Macaca fascicularis: one gene and its partners. The protein of the gene in region 7 interacts with the protein of the main gene of each other region in a biochemical or structural test. Links are inferred from orthologs where the notes say so. Each region holds a gene or a part of one and is shown on either strand. Other genes may lie near its edges. The genes, in order: IPO11, NEDD4, TRIM32, UBR5, RNF167, UBR7 and UBE2E1.

Region 1 (4,479 bases), on a different chromosome or scaffold from region 7:
GTTAGGTGGGCTAACGTTTGATTTCTCTGTGCTTCAGTTTCTTCATCTGTAAAGTGGACATAAAGAAAATAGCTACCTCGTAAGGATCGTTCTGAGGATTAAAATAAATAATTCCCATAAAGATCTTAAAACTGTACCTGGAATATTCTAAATGAGCAATAAAGGTTTTCTATTATTAATCTTTATGAACACTCTACTATTTCCTTACAACTTCTCTTATTATTATTATTATTTTGAGATGGAGTTTCATTCCTGTTGCCCAGGCTGAAGTGCGATGGCATGATCTCGCCTCACTGCAGCCTTTGCCCCCAGGATTCAAGTGATTCTCCTACCTCAGCCTCCCGAGTAGCTGGGATTACAGGCCTGCACCACCATGCCCAGCTAATTTTTTATATTTTTAGTAGAGACAGGGTTTCTCCATGTTGGTGAGGCTGGTCTTGAACTCCTGACCTAAGGTGATCTGCCTGCCTCGGCCTCCCAAAGTGCTGGGATTACAGGCGTGAGCCACTGCGCCTGGCCTTATAATTATTATTTTTAAGAAATATGTAGTTGGTGTGTATTTTTAATTAATTTGTTTATTTTGAGATGGAATCTCTTATTTATTTATTTATTTTGAGACAGAGTCTTGCTCTGTTGCCCAGGCTGGAGTGCAGTGGAGCAATCTTGGCTCACTGCAACCTCTGCCTCCCGGGTTCAAGCGATTCCCCTGCCTCAGCCTCCCGAGTAGCTGGGATTACAGGCGTCCAGGCTAATTACTGTATTTTTCGTAGAGATAAGGTTTCACCATGTTGGCCAGACTGGTCTCGAACTCCTGACTTCGTGATCCGCCCGCCTCGGCCTCCCAAAGGGCTGGGATTACAGGTGTGACCTACTGCGCCCACCCCATATTATTTTTGAAATGGGTGTGTGTGTGAACTCTCTATATGTCCCAGGCTGGCTTCGAACTCCTGGGCTCAAGTGATCCTCCTGCCTCAATATCTGGAGTAGCTGGGACTACAGGCACGCACCACTGCGCCTGAGTAAGTTCTCTTTTTGAGGATAAGAACATTTAGGTGACTATGCTAGCTTTTAGCAGAGGCAAGCAAAACTGGATTTATGTCCTTTTATATTTTTCCACTCTTTCTATTACTCAGGAGTAAACAGCAAGCAATTTGGGTAACTTAAAAAATAAACATTTGCGGGAGGGAGGGTGGACTGATGGGAGTAAGATTCTTTAAATAACTCTTCTCTGCTGTGACGGATCCGCAATTGATATCTAGAATAGAAAGCGTGAAATGGTTCTGATTGAAGCTTCAATCAACCCGGGAAACAATTGAGCTCCCTGGGAGTGGGGCAAACCAGACCTATGGTTTCCATGGTGACAGAGCCGGCTAGTCCGGACTCCCGGCTCTTTATACTGCGCAAGCGCTCACAACTGATTTGGCTACCCCGCGCCTTTTGGTTCGAAGAGAAAGTCCCTCCTTCCCCTTCCCACCGTTCGCCTATCGCCCTCGCTCTTTGCTAGTCGCATGCGCGCTGGGCTCCTGTGACGTAGTTTTCGCGCGTCCGTGTCGTTTGGAACCGCGACGCTAAACATGGCGTGTTCCTAGAAGCCGCTTTCGGCATCAGTAGGCGGCGGCGTGGGGACTGGCAGCGTGGGCGCGGGACCAACCGACGCCACTTCGTGTTGGGAAGTGGGAGCGGGAGGGCCGGGCAATTCCCGACCGAACCAAACGGTGAGGCCCCGGCCCTAGAGCCACAGAGCGCGCGGGAGTGGAAGGGAGTGGGTTGGGCACCCGAGACCCGAGAGGCGAGGGAGGAAAGTGGGGCTACCGGGAGGTGAGGGATAACGGTAGCGAGGCAAGGGCGGCCTGCAGACTTGGCTGTTTGCGTAACCTTAGGAACCCCGGGAACTGGGGGCTGGCCGAGGAAGCCCGGGAGTGGGCAGCATGGTAGCGGAGCAATCAGGGTGCGAGCTGGGAGGGACAGTATGCTAGGCTAAGCAGAGCCGAGTGTACCCATCGTGGCCGCGGTTGCGGACCTGGGTGATGTATTTGCCCTTGGGGGATAGGTGGTGCAAAATTTGAGATAAAGTGGTTATCTCGATTATAAGACCGTTGTGCATTGTTACTGCGCACACGACCTTGTTGCTAATAGCAATAGTGTGATAGCTTTAAACGTTTGACCCTTACGTGCTTTTAATGAAAGAGGGAAGGTAGTTGTCCATTTGTAGAGAGGAGCTTCATGGAGAGGTATGGCCGCCAATTCTCAAGCTCAGCGACTCCTGCAGATTTGTATTTGGGGGTATTTGTGATTCAGCAAAACTACTTTTGCTCATTGCTTGTGTCATTTTTTCTTTATTATTTTGTGACATAGTGGTTAATGAGAGAAGTACTCCTATCTGAAAGTGATTTGACTAAATAGCAAGGACTGGTAAATAAACTACTAGTGCCAAGGTTGCAGTTGACATACCTCCTCCCCTCCATAATTTAAAGGAGCTCAGTTATAGTGCGGTAGTGCCCTTCAGATTTCGGTTATTCTTCAGAAGGAAGTAAGGAAGAGCAGTTTGCAGCCATAATGCTTTCCCCCCCTCGGATAGGAATTTTCCTCCTCCATTTTCACGTTATTTCAAACTTCTCTGTTCAGTAGAGAAGCATCAGATTAAGGGCAGGGTGACTCTTCTATAGGAGACATCCATTGCATGACACATTTTACATCTTTCATTACTGAGAAAAATTTCGGTGAAATTAGAAAAATTTTCATTTTCCCTTTTGGTTATGATAGGACTGGTATTTTCTCTGTTTCTGCAGTAACCTAGCACAGGGTATAGTAGAAACAATTATAGTAATGGTTTGTGGCCATATGTTATAGCCCCAGGGTAGGAGGGTGGTCTCTGCCCTAGTCGCACTTCCTAAGGCCAAAGAGAATTTTCACCACAAACACATTTGGCTGTGGTAATATGTTAGATGTTTTAAACAGATGTGTAAAGATTATCTGATCATTAATAGAAAAATCATCAGATTTTGTGATGTTTGAATATATTTACATATGAATCAAACCAGAATGCAGCATGATCCTTGTAGGCATGTGGCTATTAAAATACACTGAAGATTTTTCCAGAAACAAAATTTTTTTTCCCAGCAATAAAAATATTCAAATTTTGAATAAAGTAATGTTTGATAATTTGGATTTTGACCTTTGTGTTATATATTTGTACCTATGTGTGTGTATGTATTTAACCTCACTTCTAATTTAGTGTTATTGATGGTAATATTTTTTCCTTTCTTTATCAGCTTCAAATAGGGACTTAATTTCAGAGCATTTAAGGAATGGCAAAACACATTTAGTGCAAGTGTGAGTCTGTAGTGTCTTTGGTTTGCCGACTGTCAGGCTGATTACAGATAAGTACAGTTATAAGCTTTGTAGAGCTTAAGTTGCATCAATGTTCTTTACCCTTGCTACTCAAATTGTGTTGTATAGCATCACCTGGGAGTTTATTAGAAATGCATGATCTCAGGCTCAATCCAGAGCTGCTGAATCAAAATCTGCAATTTTAACAAGATCTCTAGATTAAAGGAATGTTCAATAAATCTTGAGATGCACTACTTTGGTTGGTAACAGTTGAAGAACACTGAAGTAATGCACAAACCTGTATAAAAATTTATGGCATCATTTATTTTAATCTGAGGTGATCTTACACTGATTATCCAGTCTGATGAAACTGAGGCCCAGAAAGGTAAATGCCTTGCAAAAGGTCACACATACCTAGATTTATAACCCAGATTCCAACTCATCCAGTGCTTTTCTTTTGCTGATTACTATCAGAGCTTGTTATATTAAAAATGAACTAAAATTCATGAATGACAGGTGTTCATTCAATAACAAACGTTTACTGGGTACTGGACAGCCAGCCCAACAATACTGTGTGTCCCTGCTACGTGCTCCTGTTTATCATGGTGGCTAATAACCCACCACCTTTCCTCTTTATTTTCTTTGAGATGGGGGTCTCACTGTTGCCTAGGCTGGAGTGCAGTGGTGTGATCTCTGCTCACTGCAACTTCTGCCTCTGGGGTTCAAACGGTTCTCCTGCTTCAGCCTCCAGAGTAGCTGGGATTACAGATGCTTGCCACCAAGCCTGGGTAATTTTTGTATTTTTGGTAGAGACAGGGTTTCACCATTTTGGCCAGACTGGTCTTGAACTCCTGACCTCCTTAAACTCCACCCACCTCGGCCTCCCAAAGTGCTGGGATTACAGGAGTGAGCCCGGCCCGCTCTTTACTCTTTTTTTTTTTTTTTGAGTTGGAGTTTTGCTCTTTTTGCCTAGGCTGCAGTGCAGTGGTGCGATCTTAACTCACCGCAACCTCTGCCTCCCGGGTTCAAGTGATTCTCCTGCCTCAGCCTCCCGAGTAGCTGGGATTACTGGCATGTGCTACCGCGCCCAGCTAATTTTGTATTTTTTGTAGAGATGGGGTTTCTCCATGTTGGTTAGGCTGGTCTTGA
Region 2 (3,730 bases), on a different chromosome or scaffold from region 7:
TGGGCGCCTGTAGTCCCAGCTACTCGGGAGGCTGAGGCAGGAGAATGGCGTAAACCCGGGAGGCGGAGCTTGCAGTGAGCCAAGATAGCGCCACTGCGCTCCAGCCTGGGTGAAAGAGCAAGACTCCATCTCAAAAAAATAAAAATAAAATAAAAAATTTAAAAAGGTCGATACCTTCTAAGAATCGAATGGAATATGCAAGTTAACCATACAACCAGTGCTGTTTTTCTATCCATTCATCTAAAACCCTATCCTAACATAATTGAAATACATTCTTCATTATAGCCAGGATGGGAAGAGAGAACTCACACAGATGGAAGAATCTTCTACATAAATCACAGTATGTGCAATGCGATTTTTCGTTATGTTATTTTTTGTAATAAATTTTATCTGTGAGAAAGTACACCATTTTTCTTTTTCTTCCCTTCAGATATAAAAAGAACACAATGGGAAGATCCTCGGTTGCAGAATGTAGCAATAACTGGACCAGTAAGTCTCTCTGTGCTGATGTGCTCTGATGGGACTGTCCCCTCACCTGTCTCTTCAAAAGCAGATACTCAAGGGCATAACCCTACAGGCATTGAGAGGAAAGCACATTGGCCATTCTGTCTCCTCTCCCCCATTTCCCATACTCCAAGTCTCAGTTATTTGAAAAGATTCTATGACGTCATTATCTTTACCCTATGCAATAGCAGTGGGAGACAGGTGAGCCAGACAGTCGGAATGCTAAGGCAGTGTGGGCTGCTGAGCTCAGGTGGGTGCCTGCCACTGTCTGAACAAGAATGTTGACAGTCCTCCACAAATCAGAGAGGAGCAGAGAGTGTATCCAGATGAGGAAGCAGCAGCACCCTATCCACTCCAGGGTCATTCTTAAATTTTTTTATAGAAATCAGGCCAGGCTCACACCTGTAATCCCAGCACTTTGGGGGAGGCCAAGGCAGGTGGATCACCTGAGGTCAGGAGTTCAAGACTGGCCTGGCCAATATGGTGAAACCCTGTCTCTACTAAAAATGCAAAAAATATTAGTTAGGCATGGTAGCAGACACCTGTAGTCCCAGCTACTTGGGAGGCCAAGGCAGGAGAATCACCTGAACCCAGGAGGCGGAGGTTGCGGTGAACTGAGAGATTGCACCACCACATTCTAGCCTGGGTGACAGAGCGAGACTCCATCTCAAAAAAAAGAAAAAGAAATCATTGTAAATGCCCAGTATGTAAGACACATCCACACTTAAGTACAAATATACCATATATGATAACTGTAGTCAGATAGGAAAATTATTATCCTTTTTTATAGCTGCTTCTTCCATTTTATTCAGATTTTGTTTTGTAATTCATAAAAATAAAACTGAAGATACCTTTTTTTTAATTACTATTTACTATCTCAACATGTAGTCCTTTAATGGCTCAAAAAGGCAATTCCTTGGAGTTCAAGGAAAAAGTACGCTTTTCACATTGCCTGTTTAATGGAGAAATCACTTTGAAAGTCTCTTTAGAAATGGAAATTTTTGTTTCTAGTATTTCTCTACCTGGAAGAAATTTCCTATTTCTGGCATGCTGCATTTTGAGAATATTGCATAATGAAAATTACAGCCATAGGAATTGCTGAATATAATTTTGTCTTAAACAGAGAAATTAAATATTTTAAAGTTTTGTATTTGTTTTTCTTCTAATTAAACTTTTCTTTCCAAATATTTTTCTTTTCATGCCCTTAACTTATGTTCATAAAATACCCTGCCGGGAACTTTAAAAATTGTTCCAGAATAAAAACAACCTAAACTTCTTTATTTTTCCAAAATTTCCCACTAAAGGCAGTGCCCTACTCCAGGGATTACAAAAGAAAGTATGAGTTCTTCCGAAGAAAGTTGAAGAAGCAGGTTAGTGATGTTTGTGATAAATACTTGAGTCATCAATATATAGATGGAAAGTAATGGGAAATTTTGTTTAAAGTAATAATTTGTTCTATATTTGTAACAACTTTGAGTGAACAGTTTTTCATAGAGAAAGGATGGTTATTTTTTGTGTAGCTGTGATATATCACTACAGACCACTGATTATTTTATGTCTTTATTTTGTAAGATATTTTATAATATAGAAAAATGGCATTTAAAGTTTGCTTTCCAGAGCTCTAACCTGATGTATCCTTGTGGGGTTTATGGGGCTTGATCTTTGTAGAACCTGAGCAAGAGTGGCTCAGGAAATTATCTTCTGGCATAGTCTTTGACTCTGTTGGAGGAGTCTGGATTTGTTTTATGACTTTGTTGTTTTCTAGCGGTAGTCATTCATTCTCTACACCTTCAAATGTAATGTCTCTGCATAATTTAAAAATACAATCATGAGTGGAACTGTGCTCTTGTGACTTGTCTCCGTATGCTTATCAGTTATGTTCAGTACACTTTTTCCCATCACCACAAATGCAATATGTTTGGAACTAAACTCATCATCTGGCCATCTATTTCATTTCTGTTGGTGTCTGCTAGTTTTAGTGCCTCTTACTTGCTCATCCTGTCCTCCTCTGCCTGCAGTTTAGGAATACTACCACTAGGTGGCCATATTGGGTTATACTTTCTTGCATTCTAAGCCAGAAGCTGGCTTTCACAAAGATTCAAGATGGTGGGTCGGCTACCTCCGATTTTCACCCAGATTTTTAACAAAAATAAAACATGATAGTTTTTTTAGTGTAAACATTTTATGCCCTAATAAAATCCTTAAATATCATCAACTTTCTAAACTCATTTTTAAAGATAATTTTGTGGGCCAGGCGCAGTGGCTCACACCTGTAATCCCAGCGCTTCGGGAGGTTGAGGCGGGTGGATCACTTGAGGTCAGGAGTTCCAGACCAGCCTGGCCAACACGGTCAGACCCCCGTCTCTACTAAAAATACAAAAATTAGCTGGGTGTGATGTTACCCGCCTGTAATCCTGGCTACTCGGGAGGCTGAGGCAGGAGAACCGCTTGAACCAGGTAGGCAGAGGTTGCAGTGAGCTCAGATCACTTCACTGCACTCCAGCCTGGGCAACAGAGTGAGACCCTGTCTCAAAGAAAAAGAAAAAAGAAAAGATAACATTGTGTCAAAATTTCCCTGGAAATTTGTTTTCTACTTCTAGACTTTGGGATTTTAAATATTTGCTGATTCATTGTTCTGGTAAATATTTTCATTCTTAATGAGAATATGCTGGAGGAATAGAAGCACTAGCTTCTCCATTTGCCACTCTAAGTGGTTGAAACATGTTGTAGTATCTAATTGTTAATGTCTTCCAGGCGGCAGGAGATGGGAGGCAATGCCATTACAGGCCACAAAATACAAAAAAAAAAAAAAGATAAAAGCAATTATATTTGTTGATCTCTCACTGCATACCAGGCATTCTTCTTAGAAGTTTACATATGTTATTCATTTAATGTCTACAATAACTCTGTAAGGAAGGGACTACTATTACATTTCACAGATGAGGAAACTGAGGCACAGAGAATAGGTAATGTGATCAAGTCCCATGGTTATTAAGTAGAAAAGCTAAGTGGTCTAGCTCCAGATCCCATGTTCCTAAGCAACATGACATATCATATTGGTGACTAAGAGAATTAAGAGAGAAATTAATTAATTTGTATGGAAATTACCCAGAATGCAACAAAGGTAGGTAAAGGAATAAACATATAAAAGAAAGGGTAAAGACATGAAGTCGGCCAGGCGCGGTGGCTCACGCCTGTAATCCCAGCACTTTAGGAGGCCGAGGCG
Region 3 (4,230 bases), on a different chromosome or scaffold from region 7:
GACAAGTGCTTGTCCAAGGTAACATGGGAAATTAGAAAGAGTAAGGAGTTTAGACAGGACTGATTGAATTCCCATGACATATTTTCTTTTAGGGATGTGCATGGATATTCCAGCTAAGTCTTGCTGTCAGATACAGTCAAGTTTTGTTTCTGAACTGGCTTCAGCAATGCTGTAGCTAGTCCTGGAAATGATAGAGCCAATGCTACTATTCTGTTCCAGGGAAAAGCAGTCCAAAAGAGACCATACACAACAGTAGTTACTCTCCTTCAAAGTATGACTGCCTTCAGCCTCAGTCCCTGCTGTGCCTTCAGCCTCAGTCCCTGCTGTGAGGTTTTTTTTTCAAGCCAACAGCCTCCATACCTCACCCCATAGTCCGCTGCACCTCATCCTGCCTGATAACTTCAAGCTCCTCTCCTTATCTAGCCCCTGGTCTTGGTCTAAGAACAAACCAAGAACAAAGTCCAGGGCTCCTCCCAATCTAGTCAGAGAGATTTATCCCCCAACTTTAGAGTTCAATCTGATAGTCAGTGATTCTCACTGGGCAATCCTCGTTTTCATTAGAGGGGAATGGGCTGAGAAAATAAGACTAAGCGGGTCCTAGCAAGGAAAGTGGGAAAATACAGAGTTACAGAGATCTGGGTATGAGCTTAACTGTGTCATTCCTAGCTATGAAAACTTAGGCAAGTCACTTCCTAAGCCTTAGTTTCCTCATGTGTAAAACTGAATACAGTCCTTAGAAGGACTGTCATGAAAACTGAGTAAAGAAGTAGATACAAGACTAAAAATTACTAGACTTTGAGAACTTACTATGTGCCAGATCCTAGGCATGCTAATTTACTTCACTAAATCCTCACAACAATTCTGTGACATAGGTCCTGTTATCATAACCCCATTTTACAGATGAACAGCCAAGGCACTGGGTGGTAAGTAACTCATTCAAGGCCACAAAGTCAGGAAGAGATAGAGCTAGGACTTGAACCCAGGGTATCTGATTCTAGGGCAGAGTGCCTCAACTTTGGCATTACTGACATTTTAGGCAGGATAATTCCTTACTGGGGGGGAGGGGCTTATCCCATGCATTGTCAAATGTTTAACATTAACATAAAACATTATATTTAATGTTTAATCTACCCACTTGAGGCCAGTAGTATCCCCCACCCTAAGTGTGACAACCAAAAAACATCTCCAGACATTGCCTAATGTCTCCTAGGAGACAAAGCCACCCCTGATTAAGAACCACTGCTTTACAGTCTAGCACAGGACTAAATGCTCAATACATAAGGGTTCCCTTTTTTTGTTGTTGTTTGATTTTTTTGTTTTTTTTGTCCCTCTCCGAGCCCAAACATCTCACTCACAGAGCCACTGCCCCTTCAAGCTGCAATGGATCTTATATAGGATAAATTATTCCACTCATTCCCCTGGAGGTCTCACATTCTATCTGCTATGGTAGCTTGGGAGTACAAGGAAAAAGGGCTTAGGCAGATGACCTTGAATAGTTCCATTTCTTCTTCCCCAAAGCCTACCACTTTCAGTGGACCGGGGGAGGGGGAGGGAGAAGGCGGTGGTCAGAGTGTAGTTAGTGGCAATACCATACCTGCCTTATGATAACGGATCTTTGTTTAATAAATGAAGAAGATTCTACCCTTCACAGGGATTACCACACTCCTTCAGGATATCTGAACTGAAGATTTATCACTTTGTTCCTGAACACCTGAACTCTGCTCATCTTCATATACTCATCCAGAGTTTCATACATTACTTTTAGGTCCTTGGGTCCCCTAAACTCCCCCCGTCTCCCATGCAGCGATTTAAGGAAAATCTCTTTAGCAGCCCAAGACACCAATCCACATATCTACTCAGTGTCCTTTGATTCTATAGCCCAGTTAGGACATCTCCACCCCACGATTCAATCCTCTCCAAACCCTGTCCTCAACCCTCTTACAATACCAAATTCCAATCTTTGGGGCTGTATAACGCAACCCTCATCAATTCCTCACTCATATGCCTCAAATCCCTCGGACACAGATCCTTTAATCCCTATTTCCAAATCTTTGCCGCACTCAGCTCCGCACCTCAGTTCAACGCCCTAATTCCTCACTTCAGATTTCTGCTCTCCCTCAATCTGAACCCCCATCTCCTGCATTCCATCAGGCACTGTGCCGCCCTCAAACCCTGCTCCTTCCTCTTATGCACTGAATGTCATGTGCTGCCTTCACAACTCAGCCAGCTCCCTTCTTCCTGCTAACAAGAGTCCCCCAAGAACTCACCCCACCCCCTCTATCTCACCCTCAGCCCACTCCGAAAGCCCTTTCTCAATAGCACTTAGAATCGCCCTAGACCTTGCTCCTATCATCTTACACCCTATCCTTGCCAGATGCCTAGCGCCCCCAGATTCCCTCAAATCTCATCGGGGCCCCCCAGTTCCTTCATATTTCTGAAATTCTGCACCCAGGTCCCTCCAGGGCCCTGATTCCTTCCCATCTCCCACATGCTGCACCCCGTTCCTCCTCAGGGCCCCCACATTACCTCATACCTCCCGAGATGCTGCCACCGCATATCTCTTCAGAGCCCCTCGCTCCCCTCCCCCAGCTCCATCTCCGCGGATCTCCTCAGCCCCACGAATCCCTCCCGAGCCTGCCCCTGGCAGCCCCACCCCCACCCTAGTCCTGCCCCTCAGATCCGGTCCCCAGACCCTGCCATTCGGGCGCGGCCGCTGCACGCCGGCACGTTCCCCCGACCGGCCGCTGAGCCACGGCCCACGACTTCGGCCGCGGTCCCTAGTCCCCAGCCCTCCTTCCCGCCCCCTACCTGACCGCCCGCAGCTCCGACGAGTCCACCGCCGCCAGCCCACCCGCCCGCCGTCCTCTGCGCACGCGCCGTTGAGCGCCCTTTGCCGGGCGCCAATTCGCAGAGCTCCCTGTCCGTCACTGAGCCCCGCCTCCCGAGGCATGCTGGGGCTTGTAGTGCAGCGGGCCCCAGCGCGCGGGGCCAGGCGGCCCTGCAGGGGTGAGCTTTCCTCTGAGAACCCGGGGCCTTAGCGACACGTAATCCAGTGTTCCGTCGCCTTTGTGCAGATGAAGAAACCGAGACCCATGGGCGAAAGAGACCTGCTCAAGTTCACTCAGTAAGTCAGGAGATAAGCCAGAATGCGTATCTGACTCCAGTCCAAATGTCTACCCTTTCACAAAACTGTAGCCTCCAGGGTAGTCCTCAACAAAGCGTTGGCACCTTGCTGAATCTGTTTTTCCATCTGAGAAATGGGCCAACGGAAGAATCAAACTTCCATTCTGGGGAGGTCGAGAACCGGGACTCCCTAGGAAGGGCAGTGCTTTGGCCCCATGTCCTGTGCTCTGATAGAGCGCTGCACTAGAGACAAGTTTATCCATGAACACATTGCTCTGTAAAGGAACGTTTTGCCTACTCAGCTGGGAGGCCGACAGCAGAGGCAGACATGGGGAGTACACGCTGCAGCCCCTGTCCCTGCAGGCTGAAGGTACCCGGGAATCCAAACCAAGTGTAGTTTTGGGGAGTCAGAGGTGAAGGTGGAGGAGTCTTACCAGTTGGGAGGTGACCTGGCCTGAGATTTGAGGGAATCTAGGGCACTAGGCATCTGGCAAGGACGAGGTCTGATACAGGACTGACTAGCCACGACCTGCACTCCCCGAAGTAGTTTGGGGCCAATCACCTATTCTCCAAGGTGATTATACTGTACAGCTTAGGAGCACAAAGGAGTTTGAAGTAGGATGGTCTTGGATTTGAAATTCCCCTTAGCTATGTGACCCTGCACAATGATAAAACAGTAACCAAAAACAATGACTAACATCTTTGAACACTTGCTGTCTGGCTACAGCTAAGGACTTCAGGTGCATAGCTCACTAAATCCTCATAAGGACCTCATGAGATAAGGCAGCTGATGGTTAACCTACACCTAACAAGGCCACCTGTGCCTAAGTATTGGCGCCCAGATTTGTACCCAATTCTATCTGAGAACCCACTCTTAACCTTGTTTACTCTTTCTCCCCATTTTCTAAATTTCTAAGTGAAGTTTGCCAAGAAGATAAACCAAGATTATGGTAGTTTGTACTTAATGATAACTATATTTGAAAAATTGCAATTAGCAGGTAGGGGATAAGGGAGAGGTGGTGCCAAATGATTTCTCACTTAGACTAGTTAGGGAGACTTTGCACTTGTTTTTTTTTTTTTTTCCCTGAAAACCAGAGTTATCAGCCC
Region 4 (3,730 bases), on a different chromosome or scaffold from region 7:
TAATCATATCTTTGTGTCTTTTTTCCCTATGACTATCACTAGACTTAGAGTTTTCAGCTTTGGAATTGTTAAGTCTGATATGAAGAAAGTTGATTTAATTCCTAAGTAAATGAGGCAGAAGAGCTGATTGCTCAGTTAAATATGGCATACCATGAAAAGTGGAAATTTTCACTGGGTAGTATAATCTGATCCGCAAATCTTGATACAGATTTTATAACTACAGTGCCTTTTTGGGGATGATACAAATTATTTTTTTCAACTGGTAATATTTCTATTTGTATATTATAAACTGTGTATTTGCTGTAGCCCTTTATAAGTCCTAGTTTTCCAAAGCACAATAATTTTGAGATTGAATTGTTTTAGAAAATACCAGAAATGATAATTATGATGAGATATACGCATACTTATAATTATTCCTTTAAAAGTACACTCTTAATTTTAGGATATTTTTGAGTGTCGAACTTGTGGCTTGCTGGAGTCACTTTGTTGTTGTACGGAATGTGCAAGGGTTTGTCATAAAGGTCATGATTGCAAGTGAGTACAATTCTAGTTTTCTTTAGTTTAATATTATAAACTGTTTAGATTTATATTGCTGTATGGAAATCGATAGTCATGTTTTAATTTAGAAAGCATGAGGTTATGTTTCTCTTGTTTAAGTCAGTTTATGTATAATAATGTGATTCTTGATTTAAACTATACTGTGAAATGTTTGGTTTCTTTGCTAGTTCTAACATTGCCCTCCTTAAATAAAAGTAGGTGATTATACATTGTAACTAGGATCAGATTAGTATTTTGAGAAATATATCTACAGAATGTTCCCGAGTGTATTATGCAGCAGAGGTCTCAGGTGCCCTGTAGCAGGGTGTACTAGGAGAAAATTGCCATAGGCCTGGAGGGAATCATGGTGAATGTTTGGACTGTGTCTTTCTTAAACTAAATGCAACAATCTTTCATTCAGCAACAGTTACCACAACTAGTTTTGTTGGTTTTCACAGACCTGAGAAGCAATGAAATACCTAGCACTAACATCTGTGGTGTTTTAGGATTATGGATAGGGACTTCAGTATAAATGGCTACAAATGTTATAATAGAGAATTGGACTGTAAAAACCATCTACTATACCATTAAGTAATTGTATAGGACAAGTGAAAAATTTTAATAGATATTGCATTGCTTATTTATAATTTTTGTTAAAAGAATTCTGGTTGGTATTTTTGTCTTCCTTATTTTAAGCACCTAAAAGTGTGATAATCTGTTGTTATTGATTGTTTGCCAAGGGTACTAGATGCCAGGGTGGTGGTGGTGAATAGTCCTGACAGTGTTCCCAATCCTATCAGAGGCCACAAGCAAGAAATATCTGCCCATAGAGTTATAGGGTTCATTAGGTCATATGGGAGGACCACTTGAACTGGACTGGAGCGGTGGGGAATTAGGGAAGAAATTCCAAAAGTGGCTATACCTTAGAGTACCTCTTCTCATAGGAATTCTGTGTTGGTTTATAAATGTCATTACTACCAAGTAATCCTTTTGTCATATAAGCTTTGACAGTTATACTTTGCATTTAGGAATTAACAAGGGCTCTCTCTGGTTTCAGTGAGTTATACCTTCATAATGTCAACATAAACCTTTGTATGTTTAAAAACTTTCAGTTTTTGTACTTGTGTATAAATTCTCTATAGACTCAAACGGACGTCACCAACAGCCTACTGTGATTGTTGGGAGAAATGTAAATGTAAAACTCTTATTGCTGGACAGAAATCGGCTCGTCTTGATCTACTTTATCGCCTGCTCACTGCTACTAATCTGGTTACTCTGCCAAACAGCAGGCAAGTAGGATTTTTAGGACTTACAGTAAGTTAAATCAGAAGAGCGCAGCATACCTGAGTAGCTTTTCGGCCTCCCTTCTCACGACAACATTCTATTTTGCAGGGGAGAGCATCTCTTACTGTTCTTAGTACAGACAGTCGCAAGGCAGACGGTGGAGCATTGCCAGTACAGACCACCTCGAATCAGGGAAGATCGTAACCGAAAAACAGCCAGTCCTGAAGGTGAGTAAATTAGACATTTATGACACTTGTGGGAAGCAATATGTTTTATTTTTGTTTTGGTCACTATTTCTTTTTCATTTTAGATTCAGATATGCCTGATCATGATTTAGAGCCTCCACGATTTGCCCAGCTTGCATTGGAGCGTGTTCTACAGGACTGGAATGCCTTGAAATCTATGATTATGTTTGGGTCGCAGGAGAATAAAGACCCGTACGTATTCATTAAAACCTTTTTAGCTTTATGTATTTCCTACATTAGTGTAGACCTTTTACAGTTCATTCTGTTTTTCCTCCCTCCTCAAGTCTTAGTGCCAGCAGTAGAATAGGCCATCTTTTGCCAGAGGAGCAAGTATACCTCAATCAGCAAAGTGGCACAATTCGACTGGACTGTTTCACTCACTGCCTTATAGTTAAGTGTACAGCAGATATTTTGGTAAGTTCTTTGAATATGTATTGCAAGTACCTGAAAAGTATGCTTTTAAAGTACTCTTCTTTGCTGTGAAACTAGGAAAGAATTTAAACCTCAAGATCCAGTGCTAATGAGGTTATGGTAATAACACACTCAGATAGGGATGGGGTGGGATTGCATCTCTTCTTCTCTCTGGAAAGCCATAAAACTATCAGTGCCCTGAGAACCTGTCATAAAGAAATTTACAATATGAGAAAAATAAAGGCATGTCACAGAATAATGTAAAATTTAAAAACAGAAAAATACTTTTATCAGCCCAATAATAGTGTAATCTTGAATCAAATTATAACCTGACCACTTACTGGAATGTGATGAAGTAATTTAAAAATAAATCTTATTGTAAATAACATTAAAAACAACAACCAAACTATGAAAATTGGGTGTTTTCTGTAGCTAATATTTATACAAGAAACTACGCACAGAAAAGAGACTAGAAAGTAACAGGGGTTCCGTGAGGGAGAGATGGGATTATGAATTTATTCATATGAACAGTTGAGTCTGCCTTGCTGTTTTGGAAAGTGCCCCAGACTGAGTTAAACATATTCTTCCTCTGATTTGATATATTTGGTATTGTTCTTCTAAATATTAGTTGATATACCGAGGACTATGGGACAAAAAATAAGAAATCATACATTTAGGAATCACTATATGTCAAGCACATTGGCAGGTATATTTCATAAATTGACCTTATAAATGTTTTGGTTAAATTTGTTTTGAGGTTTTATTATGAAATGTTAATGCTTAAAAAACGTTAGAACTTATAACTTTATGAGTGTCTAAACATCGTATAAAATATCTTAACATTAATAGAGTGAATATAATTTTGTAAAGCTTTTAGATACTCTACTAGGTACACTAGTGAAAGAACTCCAAAACAAATACACACCTGGACGTAGAGAAGAAGCTATTGCTGTGACAATGAGGTTTCTACGTTCAGTGGCAAGAGTTTTTGTCATTCTGAGTGTGGAAATGGCTTCATCCAAAAAGAAAAAGTAAGGCATCCTTTTTGATTTTGGCTTGGATACCATTTTCACACAGTTTTTGTGATAGCAATTTATGTATATGAAGAGATAGATTGCTTATATTTCTCTTTTTGTTCTAGCAACTTTATTCCACAGCCAATTGGAAAATGCAAGCGTGTATTCCAAGCATTGCTACCTTATGCTGTGGAAGAATTGTGCAACGTAGCAGAGTCACTGATTGTTCCTGTCAGA
Region 5 (2,280 bases), on a different chromosome or scaffold from region 7:
CAAGAAATGTTATGAAATGGCCTCCCACCTTCGGCGCTCCCAGTACTGACCTCGTCTGTCCCTTCCCCTTCACCGCTCCCCACAGCTTTGCACCCCTTTCCTCCCCCATACACACATACACCATTTTATTTTTTAGGCCATTACCCCATACCCCTTATTGCTGCCAAAACCACATGGGCTGGGGACCAGGGCTGGATGGACAGACAACTCCCCCTACCCATACCCCTCCTGTGTGTGGTTGGAAAACTTTTTTGTTTTTTGGGTTTTTTTTTTTTTTTTCTGAATAAAAAAGATTCTAACAAGGTGCTGTGTGATTTGAGCTTGGGTGTCAGAATGGGGGACAGGCACTGTGACTTGCCTCCTTTATCATGGCTTGGGAGCAGGAAGGTTGAGGTACTACAAGGTGCAAGAATTTGAGCTTCTGGCCAGGTGGCCCTGCCCCTCCACAGTGGCATTTCCAGGCCTAAGTCCTCAGTGTGCTGGTTAAATTGGTGGATAATGGAATAGAGCCATCTGGACCAGAGAATGGGTGCAGGCCTGCAGGCAAGGCAGGGCTAGTTGAGTCATCCTTGTGGGTGGGGCTCCCCCTGAGTCATAGCAAATGCCTGCTGGGGCTGTCCCCATGACTATAGGTTAGTGTCTCAGCATTCTCTTGCTCCTTATGGCTAAAGGGGTGATTCCCCCAAAGGGTTAAGTTCACCTAAAAATTATCTCACCCTTCCTTAGTCCACAAAAAACAATTTTATTAGCCCAAGAAGTGAAGACCCAGTCCCTTTGCTTGCCCCAGCCCCACCCCAATGCCCCTCAAAAGGATAGGTGTGGGTAAGGGAGCAACTTAGGATGGAATGTCCCCTATCCCTCAACTTAGAAGACTGGAGGGAAGAAGACGGTCTGTGCAAATAGGTCACCAGAAGTGTACATGTAGAGGGTTATTAGACCAGGATGACGGGGGAAGAGGGAGGAGAGGGTGGGGGATCTGTTGAAGGCCCAGGAAAAACAAGGGGAGCTGGGGCTAGGGAACCAAATGAGGTGGGAAGAGTGGGGCTAGAACCCAAAAGTGGGGTCCTTTCGGAAGCAGGGTGGTCCCTTGGCTCCCCTTCTTCACCCTCCTCTTGCCCCTGAGCTTCTTCCTCTTGCTCTTCGTCCCCAGGACCACGATGAACAGGCTGCTTGCAAATGGGGCAGGTCTTCCGGGTCTGAGTCAGCCAGGGGTCCACGCAGCGGCTGTGGTAGGCTGCAGAGAGGAACAAGGTGAAGCACCTGGTGGCTGCCAGTGGCAGAGGGGCATGGGCAGGCAGTGAGGGCCTCACCATGAGCACAGGGGAGTACCCGCAGCTTGTCTCCATCTTCATATTCATCCAGGCAGATGGCACAGACATCATACTGGTCTCCTGGGACAGAAAGAAAATAATCTAGTCCTTCACTGAGCCATCGTGACCCAGGGCTAAGGCTTTTAAAGCCTTGCGAAAATTTTCCCTCACCTACAAAGCCAGTGGAAGAGCTAAGACAGGTAGGCAGGATAAGGTCAGGGCAGAACATGGAAGAATTTAGGGCTAAAAGGGACAAGCAAAGAGAAGCAGAGGTAAGAAGGGAAGTGGTTTTTGGGGAGGTGTGAGGGTGGAGATACGGAGTGGAAGGGACGGAAATGGGCAGAGCTTCTGCCATAGCCTTATACGGGCACTGGAGGCCCCAGGGCCTAAAGCCCCAGCCCCACAGTACCACTTTCTTCCTTCTCTAACTGAATCCTCCCCCATTCCTCCCATTTTTCTGCTCTCCACATCCCCCATAAGCAAAGTCTGTCCCTCTATTATTTCCCACAATTATTTCACTTAATCATCTTTGCTTTACATCTCTCCCATCTTCACTGTATTTATGGGTAAAAACAAGACAAGACAGCATCTCAAGCTGAAAATTTCTTACTGCCATCTTTATTACTTTTATTTTTTTGAGAAAGGGACTCCCTCTGTTGCCCAGGCTGGAGCACAGTGGTGCAATCTCAGCCCCCTACAACCTCCGCCTTCCTGGTTCAAGTGATTCTCCTTTCTCAGTCTCCCAAGTAGCTGGGACTACAAGCGCACACCACCATGCTCAGCTAATTTTTGTTATATTTTATAGAGATGGGGTCTCACCACGTTGCCCAGGCTGGCCTGGAACTCCTGGGGTCCAGGGATTCACTTGCCTCAGCCTCCCAAAGTGGTGGGATTTTTTTGTTTCATCATGTTGCCCAGGCTGGTCTCAAACTCCTGGGCTCAAGCGACCTACCCACCTCGGCCTTCCAAA
Region 6 (4,488 bases), on a different chromosome or scaffold from region 7:
GCATTCAAGCACATAAGACTTCACAATTCTGGAAATTAATATGTACAGAAGCAAATATTTATATCACATACACACAAACACACACAAGTAAAATGATGGTAGAGAAAGATGAGTAGTTTGAGTTTGTACCATATTATGTTTTTAAAGGCTCTGGAAACTCCAATTATATAAAATAATTACATGAAATTTCACTACTGTACAACAGCTTTGCATGAAAAAACATGATAAGGAAAAAGTGTAGATGGGACAGAATCTACACTTCAAAAGCATTTAGTAACAATCTCTGACTATGTTTACCTTTTTGTGTATAGCTCAAATAGTTTGTGACTTCCATGACATTCATAACTGCAAGCTAAACAAATTCCTGCTGGTTCTTCTCCCTCTGGGGTGCAGGTACTACAGGCATATAGTGCTTGCCTCTTTACTGAGCCCTAAAAGCCCCCAAAATGGAAAAGAGAATTAATGTAATAGCATGGCTTACCTAATACCCACACTAGGAACTGAAAAATAATTAAAATCAGATTATCTGTGGTCAAGATCTTTCTGTAAAAACCATTAAGACTAAAAAGTTTACACAGCAGAGCATCAACCAAAACACAGTTGTGTTGCATGTTTCATTTTTATACTAGTGCTTTTCATGCAAGCACTTTTTTCTTTCTTCCTAATTTATTTATTTTTTGCAGAGACGAGGTCTTGCTATGTTGCCCAGGCTTGTCTCAAACTCCTGGGCTCAAGCAGTTCTCTGCCTTGGCCTTCCAAAGTTCTGGGATTACAAGCATTAGCCATGACACAAGTCAGCACTCCTTTCTTAAAGTGATAGGATGTCTGAATTTGTCAGTCGGCTGTGAATAAATGAATCTGTTTAATCATTTTAACAGGTGAAAACACAGGAGCATATGTATAGGTTTATGTAAGTAATATCACACTTTCATCCTGGAAAATGTTTGTAAATCCACCAAAGAGAGAATCAACACATGCAAAGAATCTCTTTGATTTTTAGGAGATGCATGCTGAAGTATTTAGAGGTATAGTGTCATCATGTCTGCAACTTATTTTTAAATAGTTCAAAATTTTAAAACAACAAATTTTAAGTAGAAAAGGAGATAAATGTGACAAAATGTTAAAAAGTGAATATGTAGGCTGGGTGCAGTGCTCACGCCTGTAATCCCAGCCCTTTGGGAGGCCAAGGTGGGCAGATCACCTCAGGTCACGAGTTCAAGACCAGCCTGGTCAGCGTGGTGAAACCCCATCTCTAAAAAACCCCATCTACTAAAAATATAAAAATTAGCTGGCCGTGGTGGCGGGCATCTGTAATCCCAGCTACTCGGGAGGCTGAGACAGGAGAATCGCTTGAACCCGGGAGGTGGAGGTTGCGGTGAGCCAAGATCATGACATTGCACTCCAGCCTGGGTGGCAAGAGTGAAATTCCATCTCAAAAAAAAAAAAAAAAAGTGAATATGTATAATAGGTATAGTTACCTTCCTCTAGGAAGGAGGAAGAATAGACAAGGAGGCTTCCGGGATGCCAGTAAAATTCTATTTCTTTCTTTTCTCTTTTTTTTTAAGTTCTTTTCCAATAAGCCTTTTGCACTCCTAATGTTCTATTTGTTGATCTGGGTGGTGGGAACATGCACACTTTCCTTTCAAGCTGTGTACATGATTTGTGCAAATTTCCATATTTTTTTTTTACCACAATAAAAAGAAAACATTAAGGGAATCCATTTTATAAAGGTAACTACACTTCAAAAATAGTTTACATACAGACTTAGAACTTTTTTTTTTTTTTTTAAGGAAAGCAGGCGAAAAATTGTTTTAGTGGTGACCAAAGGTTTTAAAGTACCTGGGGCTATGTCTGGATACCAGGTTTATTCAACAATCTAGCACTTTGCAGTGTAAACTAAACTTGGTCAACAACGAGAACTGGTATTATGACCTCAGTTCATACCACATAATGAATGCAAGTCTCTCCTCTCATCTCCCCAGTGTTCCAATCCACCCCTCTGCCTCGGTAACCCTTCTTCCTGCCAGTTCTTATCCTTTGTCAGTCTTCTTCCTACCCATCCTTTTCCATTTTTGTGCCTCGAAGTATAGGGTGAGTCACTAAACACATCACACCCCCTCAAACACTTGCTCACTCACAACGTCTTCCAAATGCCAAATAGATCCTTTTCTCCTCTCTCCCCTCCCCTGCCAGAGCCACTTGCTGTTCTGTTTCCGGTCTATTTCCAGGGGAGGAGGGCAGACTGCAGACAGACATGGGTACTTGCTCCATTTTGCCAAAAAAAGAAAGAAAAAGTACTAGCTAGCACTTGTCAAACTAAATTGCAGAGGAACTAGCTGTCAAGGAGCTCACCGCAAATCCCTATGGATTTGAAAATCTCTTTAACCTGACGTCTCCCATTTGGTCCCTAATAAATAAATAAATAATCTTAGGATGGGAAAAGCAGGGACAAAGATGTCTGGATCTGAGAGGTCGCGGGCTGGTTTCGTGAAAAGCAGTGGTGCACCAGGACGAGGCTGGAGAGGACGGACAGAGCAGCTGCTCCAGGGTCCTTCCTGGCTGGCCGGACAGAGTTAGAGAGAGGGGAGATGGGGGCCCCTGCTGGACACAGGCTGAAGGGGGCCCAGGAGGTTGGGGATAAAAGGGAAGGGTGGGCTTGGGGTAAGGAAGCGGCAGACTAACGGCGGCCCCGGACCACCACTGGGGAGACGACTGCGGCAGGCGGGAATAGGGACAGCCGGGCCGGGAAGGGGAGGTTCGGCGGGAGCCGCGGGAGACAAGGCCCGGGCCGCGTGCCCACCTGCGAGTAGGAGCACTTCTCGGAGTCGCTGCCGCCCAGGACAGCACACGCCTCATTCTCCAGCTCCTCGTCCTCCTCGAGGACGTCGACCAACGATACCACGGGCTCCAGCTCCGACTGCCGCCCAGCGGAGCCCTCGGCTCCGGCCATCCTCAACTGTCACCCGAACCGCGGCTCGGCCCCGGCGGAGGCGGGAAAAGCGGCCACGAGGGGCGTAGCCGGAGGAGGCGGGGCCCGAGTGCCAGGAACCAATGACAAGGAAAAAAGGCGAAGGAAGGGGGAGGAGCGACTTCCGACAAACGGATGTCACTCCTCTCCCTTCTGCCGCCTGCGCAGGCCACGGGCTGATTTCCGCCTCCGGGTGGCGCTTCCCGGTGTCGTGTTCTGGAAGCTTAGTGGTCACCATGGAGCTGCTGGGAGAGTATGTCGGGCAGGAAGGGAAGCCGCAGAAGCTGCGGGTGTCCTGTGAGGCGCCGGGTGACGGCGACCCTTTCCAGGGCCTATTGTCTGGCGTGGCCCAGATGAAGGAGCTGGTAACGGAATTATTCGGCCCCCTGGTACAGGCGGAAGTGCAGCACCGGGTGGCGGCGGCTCCAGACGAGGCCCTGGACGGTGAGCTCTGAGACGGTGCTGCAGCGACAGGAGGACGGGGCGGGAGCCAGGGGAAATTGGCTTGGGGAGCCCGTGTAGAGTGGCAGACTTGGACAAAGTGAGCCTCGAGGAAAGAAGAATTGCATCTAAAAATTTTTGGCGGGCCAGGCGAAGTGGGGCTCACTCCTGTAATCCCAACACTTTGGGAGGGCGAGGCAGGAGGATCACTTGAGGTCAGGAGTTCCAGAACAGCCAGGGCAACATATCGAGACCCCGTTTCCATTGTTATTTCAAAGATAATTTAAAAAATAAAAATTGTTGGCATTTATCACTATATTTGGGCTGCTTCTACTCAAACATTTCCACGACTCATCGCTATTTCATTTATTTCACTAAAAAACTTGCCGAATGCCTACTACTATTTGCCAAACCCTGAGCTGAGCCCTGGAGGAAGAATGAGGTCAATGCGACTCAGTTCCTGCCCTTGTGAAACACAAGGGGATTATACAGGCAGACACTCTTATTAAAAGTGAAAGTGGCCAGGCTGGTAGCTCACGCCTGTAATCCCAGCACTTTGGGAGGCTGAGGCGAGCGGATCACGAGGTCAGGAGTTCGAGACCAGCCTGGCCAATATGGTGAAACCCTGTCTCTACTAAAAATACAAAAATTAGCTGGGAGTGGTGGCGGGCACCTGTAATCCCAGCTACTGGGGAGGCTGAGGCAGAAGAATCGCTTGACCCCGGGAGGCGGAAGTTGCAGTGAGCCGAGATCGTGCCACTGCACTCCAGCCTGGACTACAGAGCGAGACTCCGTCTCAAAAAAAAAAAAAAAAGAACGTGGTTCTATGGCCCTCTGTAAGTGTTGCAAACCCAGAGACCCTCGGAAGGCTTCAAAGAGGATAAGACTTTTGAGCTGGAGTATTGAATAAAAAGGAGTTTTATCAGGTGTGAAACTACAGACATATTTGGAAGAGTACAATCTATCGCAGAGTAGGAACAGGTTCCAAGGAGTGGGACAGACTTAATTTTAACATGTATTAACTCCTAGAGACTCCCTTGCCTTTCCAGTTTTGTAGGTGCAGTTTGAAAGTAGAAACG
Region 7 (4,223 bases):
AGTTGATAACTGGGTCTTTACCCCCAAATATATTCATGTACACCAGGGATATCCAGCAAAATATAAAAATGCAAATTACCAAAAGCAAGTATCCCGGCTTGAGCACGTGAGGCCAAAAAGTGAATGAGGATCAAAGAGCCTAGAGGATTGAGGTGGGGGGCAGTGTTAAGGAAGGGCCTGTCCCAAGTGGGCAGAGTAGATGCCAGGTTCCAGGAAAACCGCACAGGGCTAATCAGTGAGGGTCAGTTAGGCCTCCTGAGAAGCTGTACAATCAAACCAAACCTATAAAAATGAGAACAATCTTGCAGAGGCACCTTGCCACTTAAGACCTCCACACTATTTTTAAAAAGTCACTCATTCATCAGCTCATGGTTAGGTCACCAAAACACTGCCAAGTTTTCAAATTACAAGTCAGGCAAAATGACAGAACAAACTCTCAAACCCTGACTTTCAGGCTCACTACTCAGTGGAGAGATCTAAAGTCTCATGTTCCACTTTATTTTAAAAATTTTTAAGACGGGTATCCCTATCTAACCCATCATTTGGACTTCTTACTATCTTCCTGGTTTGCCACCTTTTTAACAACTGCCTAACTCTGATAGCAGAAGGATTTATGAAAGGGTGTCTCAGGGCTCCTAGGAATCCACTAAAGATTATTTTAAGGGTCATGGCGATCAGAGGATATTACTGAAGGATGGCAGGAGTAACAAGTAGCTACCTCCAGAGCCTTAAGAGGAAAAGAATAAAGAAAAAGAGAGACTGCTTAAATTGAAAAAATAAAGCAACGTAACATTTTCACAGCATGAGGACAGCAAATAGCATGAAAAAAAGACAAGTTTCCCTGAAATTTGGTAAACTGAAGTTTTTAAAGAGAACAAAAGAGAACCACAAAAATAACCTAGAATAACTATTTTATAATCACTTACTGATTCATTCATTTGCCTCAACTCTCAGAAAAATCTCTTTAAATTCCACCATAAAACACGTCTTCACCTACTCAATTTTGTACCTGCTAATACGAGTTTTATTCCTTATGCAATTTGTGAAGAAAGCTCTATTTAGAAAAGATCATCCATGCAACAGGTGAGGAGAAGGTAAAATGGTCACAGAATTCATTTTGATGCAGTTGTCTGGGCTGGTATTAGTAATTAAGAAATGGGATGATGGCCTTGGGGAAGGTCACAGATCGACCATTAGTAGGACAAGAAATCTGAAATCAGATTTGGGGGTCACTAATAAAAGTAATGAAGATTCTTACAAACTTCAGCAAGAAATGCGAGAGGCAAGCCACAATAGCTGCATGTGAGCAATGATTAAAAAAAAAAACAGAAGCAGCAATAGAGAAAATAATTAGGGCTTCCAAGGCCCTTCTTTCATTTTTAAGAACACATAAACCATGAGGAGCGTTTAAGCTATCCTCATTGGGAGGCAGACCAAATGCAGCAAGAGGCAGTTCGGAAAATAGGAAGCCTATGGAAAAAAAAAAAGAGTACGGTACCTCTTGGCGCTGGTGGAGAGGAGTTTGGAGTTTTTGCTCATGCTGACTTTACTCTCCTTCTTCTTGGGGGTGTTTGTTTCTTTCTCGGTTTGCTGGTTGGAAGACGAAGATGAGGAGGAGCTGGTGCTGGCCCTCGAATCGTCATCCGACATAGCGAACCCCCCACCCCACCCCGCAAACAGCCCCTGCAGGGGGAGGGAAACAAAACAGAAACACACAAACCATGCAGCCAGTGTAAATAAGGAACTCAGGTGCTGTCAGGAGGGCATTGACCAGGGGCGCACGCGGCCGCCCACCGCCCTCCACTCGCTTTTCAAAGTCTGCAGGCCCATTAAGGCTTTTGCAAATCGGACGCGGCTTGTTTATTTTTGGCCCCAAGTGGGGAACGCTGTGGGAAAACGGTCTGGAGCTAGGAGAGCGGCCCCTCCCTCGCCCCCCGGGGCTCTCCGCTGGGCAGGGAGGGAGTAGCCCGGGAGGCGAAGGAGGGCAGGGCGGGGGCGCGGGGCGCCACGGCGGGGCAGGGAGGGAAGGTCCCGGCAGCCGGCCGGCCTCGGGGCTGTTTTTGTCCGCTTTCCGGGGGTCGTGGGGTGGGGGGCCGGTGGCCCGGGTGAGAGACTGTGGGGCCACGAGAGGAGTTTGGCGAGGTCGGGAAGAGAGGAGGGGCGGGAAGGAGTAAGAGAGGAAGCCGAAACAGGGGGACGGAGGCGGGGAGCGGGTGCCCGGGTGGGGGAAGGGAGAGGCCGGCGGGGGGCACGGGCGACAAGGCCCGAGGCCCCCCCGCGCCGCGCCCCGACGCCCCTCCCGGCCTGCCTGCCTCTGGGCCGCCCCGCTCACGGCTGCGCGGCCGGGAGGGGGTCCGGAGCACACGCCCGATCGCCACTCCTGGAGGGGGATAGGGGCTGCGGCGGGGAGTGGGGGGGGGGTCGGCCTCCGCAGCGAAGAAATAACAATGAGCCCTTCCGCCCCGGAGGGGTTAATCCCCGTGAGCCCCCGCCCCTGGGGAAAACGGGGCTCCCCCAACTCCCCCCCACCCCCGCTCCCGGCCCCCTCGGTGGCCAGTGGGGGGCTCTTGGGGCAGCGCTGACAGTTCGAGCCACAATGACCCCCGCCCCCGATGCGGGCGGCCCCCGCACCCCAAGCGGCCCGGGGTCCCTGCCCATCCCCCGCGGGCGGGCCCCGGACCCCTGGGGCTCCCCAGCCCCTCTCCGCTCCCCCCTCCGGCCCCGTGCCCGGCGGCCCGGCGGCCCCGGCGGCGCGAGTCGGGGGAGGCGGCGAGGGGTGTCCCCGAGGCCCGGCGGCGCGGCCGGGGGGCGGCGGGCCGCTGGGGGGATCCCCGTACCTCTCTTTGTGTCTGGCTCCTCCGTGCCGCCGCGGCGGCTGCTGCTGCGGCTGCGGCTGGGCCTGGCCACTCGTGTCTCTCTCGCTGGGAGAGAAGCGGAAGTGCAGCAACAGCAACTATTAAACAGGCAATGGCTTCCCCCAGCCACACACGCTCGCACACACACCACTCCTCCGCCGCCGCCGCCTCCTCCTCCTCCTCCTCCTCCTCCTCCTCCTCCTCGCCCTCACCCCTCCCCCACCCGGCCCGGTCCCACCCACCCTCGCTCCCCTCCCCCTGCAACACCTCCTGGGGGTGCGCGAGGAAGACCCAGGAGACCCCAGGAAACCGTGCCCCCCCCCACACCCCCACCCCAGCGCCTCCTCCGGACGCCCGGGAAGGGGGCGAGGGGTGTGAATTTTCTCTTAAGTGGTTTGGGAACCTGGATTCTGGGCGGGAGAGGGGAAGCCAATGGAGATGGGGTCGCTGGGAGTGATTGGAACTGGATGGAATAGGGGGGTCACGAGAGAAAGTTCTTTCCAGTGAGGGCTTTTGGAAAGGAGAGGGGTAGGGAGGTGGCAAATTGGTGGAAAAGATGGTAATCTGGTGGTGGCAAAGACTTTAGAGAATGCAGCGGGAACTCCACCTAAAAAGCGATTAAAGAGAATAAAAAAATCACACAACAGGGGTTTTCTTTGGACTGACACTTGCTTCTCCTTCTAGCAATTTACCTGCTAGGAGCAGAGGTCAGTTTAGGCACGCCTGTGAGAAAATCCCAAACCAGGAATTTTCTGCTCAGGTCACGCGAGGCACGTGCAGTTTTACAATATTAGATTCTTCCAGTCACTTTTTATAGAAAGTGATGTGGTTTTATAAGAGTGATACAAAGGTTTTGGTGACAGGTAAAACCAACGTGTAACGGGGCTTGCGAATGTGAGAAATCACTGGGTATAAGCTATATACTACTGAATTAGACTGGATTTAGAATTTTTGGTGTCATTTTACATTAGATACAAGGTTTGGTTTTTGGAAATTGGATGGAAAGTTCTGGGGATCGCAGTGCTTTCGTTAGCTACATATAAATGCTATTCAAATAATATTTTTGAAATGATCAGCAGTTCTTCTGAATTGTTCCTTATGTAGCATTTTTGCCAAATTTGTTTTTTTAATATTAATCTGTCAAATTACGATTTAGTTTCTCACGTATTTGTCATTTCAGTTGAAGGGAACTGAAGAGATGTGTGCCATTCAGATACACCAGTGCCACACATACAAGGTCTTGTACATTAAGGAGACAGCCTCAGATTTCCATAGCTCACTCTAAATTATCTCATTCAAACTGCCATCATTTTCCGCGCAACAGTGGCTTCAGTTACTACAGGACAACACAAGATATACGCCCATGGC

Evidence for each region.
Region 1: the proteins of UBE2E1 (region 7) and IPO11 form a complex in vitro, tested with the Homo sapiens proteins (2 studies listed by BioGRID). The link is inferred for Macaca fascicularis from reciprocal best matches to the Homo sapiens genes UBE2E1 and IPO11.
Region 2: the proteins of UBE2E1 (region 7) and NEDD4 form a complex in vitro, tested with the Homo sapiens proteins (7 studies listed by BioGRID, with this or other methods). The link is inferred for Macaca fascicularis from reciprocal best matches to the Homo sapiens genes UBE2E1 and NEDD4.
Region 3: the proteins of UBE2E1 (region 7) and TRIM32 form a complex in vitro, tested with the Homo sapiens proteins (2 studies listed by BioGRID). The link is inferred for Macaca fascicularis from reciprocal best matches to the Homo sapiens genes UBE2E1 and TRIM32.
Region 4: the proteins of UBE2E1 (region 7) and UBR5 form a complex in vitro, tested with the Homo sapiens proteins (2 studies listed by BioGRID). The link is inferred for Macaca fascicularis from reciprocal best matches to the Homo sapiens genes UBE2E1 and UBR5.
Region 5: the proteins of UBE2E1 (region 7) and RNF167 form a complex in vitro, tested with the Homo sapiens proteins (3 studies listed by BioGRID). The link is inferred for Macaca fascicularis from reciprocal best matches to the Homo sapiens genes UBE2E1 and RNF167.
Region 6: the proteins of UBE2E1 (region 7) and UBR7 form a complex in vitro, tested with the Homo sapiens proteins (2 studies listed by BioGRID). The link is inferred for Macaca fascicularis from reciprocal best matches to the Homo sapiens genes UBE2E1 and UBR7.

The regions. Positions count from the first base shown.
Region 1 is NC_088380.1:67,935,157-67,939,635, forward strand, and holds the start of IPO11 (importin-11), read left to right. Parts: upstream 1-1,562; 5' UTR 1,563-1,715; intron 1,716-4,479. UniProt on the Homo sapiens protein: Functions in nuclear protein import as nuclear transport receptor. Serves as receptor for nuclear localization signals (NLS) in cargo substrates.
Region 2 is NC_088381.1:32,300,829-32,304,558, reverse strand, and holds part of NEDD4 (E3 ubiquitin-protein ligase NEDD4), read left to right. Parts: intron 1-285; coding exon 286-340; intron 341-430; coding exon 431-489; intron 490-1,808; coding exon 1,809-1,874; intron 1,875-3,730. UniProt on the Homo sapiens protein: E3 ubiquitin-protein ligase which accepts ubiquitin from an E2 ubiquitin-conjugating enzyme in the form of a thioester and then directly transfers the ubiquitin to targeted substrates. Specifically ubiquitinates 'Lys-63' in target proteins.
Region 3 is NC_088389.1:41,394,242-41,398,471, forward strand, and holds the start of TRIM32 (E3 ubiquitin-protein ligase TRIM32), read right to left. Parts: upstream 2,858-4,230; 5' UTR 2,809-2,857; exon of another isoform or gene 2,527-2,808; intron 1-2,526. UniProt on the Homo sapiens protein: E3 ubiquitin ligase that plays a role in various biological processes including neural stem cell differentiation, innate immunity, inflammatory resonse and autophagy.
Region 4 is NC_088382.1:111,905,346-111,909,075, reverse strand, and holds part of UBR5 (E3 ubiquitin-protein ligase UBR5), read left to right. Parts: intron 1-442; coding exon 443-534; intron 535-1,679; coding exon 1,680-1,826; intron 1,827-1,929; coding exon 1,930-2,048; intron 2,049-2,131; coding exon 2,132-2,258; intron 2,259-2,350; coding exon 2,351-2,480; intron 2,481-3,347; coding exon 3,348-3,508; intron 3,509-3,618; coding exon 3,619-3,730. UniProt on the Homo sapiens protein: E3 ubiquitin-protein ligase involved in different protein quality control pathways in the cytoplasm and nucleus. Mainly acts as a ubiquitin chain elongator that extends pre-ubiquitinated substrates.
Region 5 is NC_088390.1:5,062,327-5,064,606, reverse strand, and holds the end of RNF167 (E3 ubiquitin-protein ligase RNF167), read right to left. Parts: intron 1,554-2,280; coding exon 1,482-1,553; intron 1,392-1,481; coding exon 1,311-1,391; intron 1,235-1,310; coding exon 933-1,234; 3' UTR 723-932; downstream 1-722.
Region 6 is NC_088381.1:161,207,849-161,212,336, reverse strand, and holds the start of UBR7 (putative E3 ubiquitin-protein ligase UBR7), read right to left. Parts: upstream 2,987-4,488; 5' UTR 2,951-2,986; coding exon 2,801-2,950; intron 432-2,800; coding exon 298-431; intron 1-297. Other genes in the region: EKC/KEOPS complex subunit GON7, read left to right, coding at 3,205-3,412. UniProt on the Homo sapiens protein: E3 ubiquitin-protein ligase which is a component of the N-end rule pathway. Recognizes and binds to proteins bearing specific N-terminal residues that are destabilizing according to the N-end rule, leading to their ubiquitination and subsequent degradation.
Region 7 is NC_088376.1:24,547,807-24,552,029, forward strand, and holds the start of UBE2E1 (ubiquitin-conjugating enzyme E2 E1), read right to left. Parts: upstream 2,970-4,223; 5' UTR 2,838-2,969; intron 1,684-2,837; 5' UTR 1,651-1,683; coding exon 1,499-1,650; intron 1-1,498. UniProt on the Homo sapiens protein: Accepts ubiquitin from the E1 complex and catalyzes its covalent attachment to other proteins. Catalyzes the covalent attachment of ISG15 to other proteins. Mediates the selective degradation of short-lived and abnormal proteins.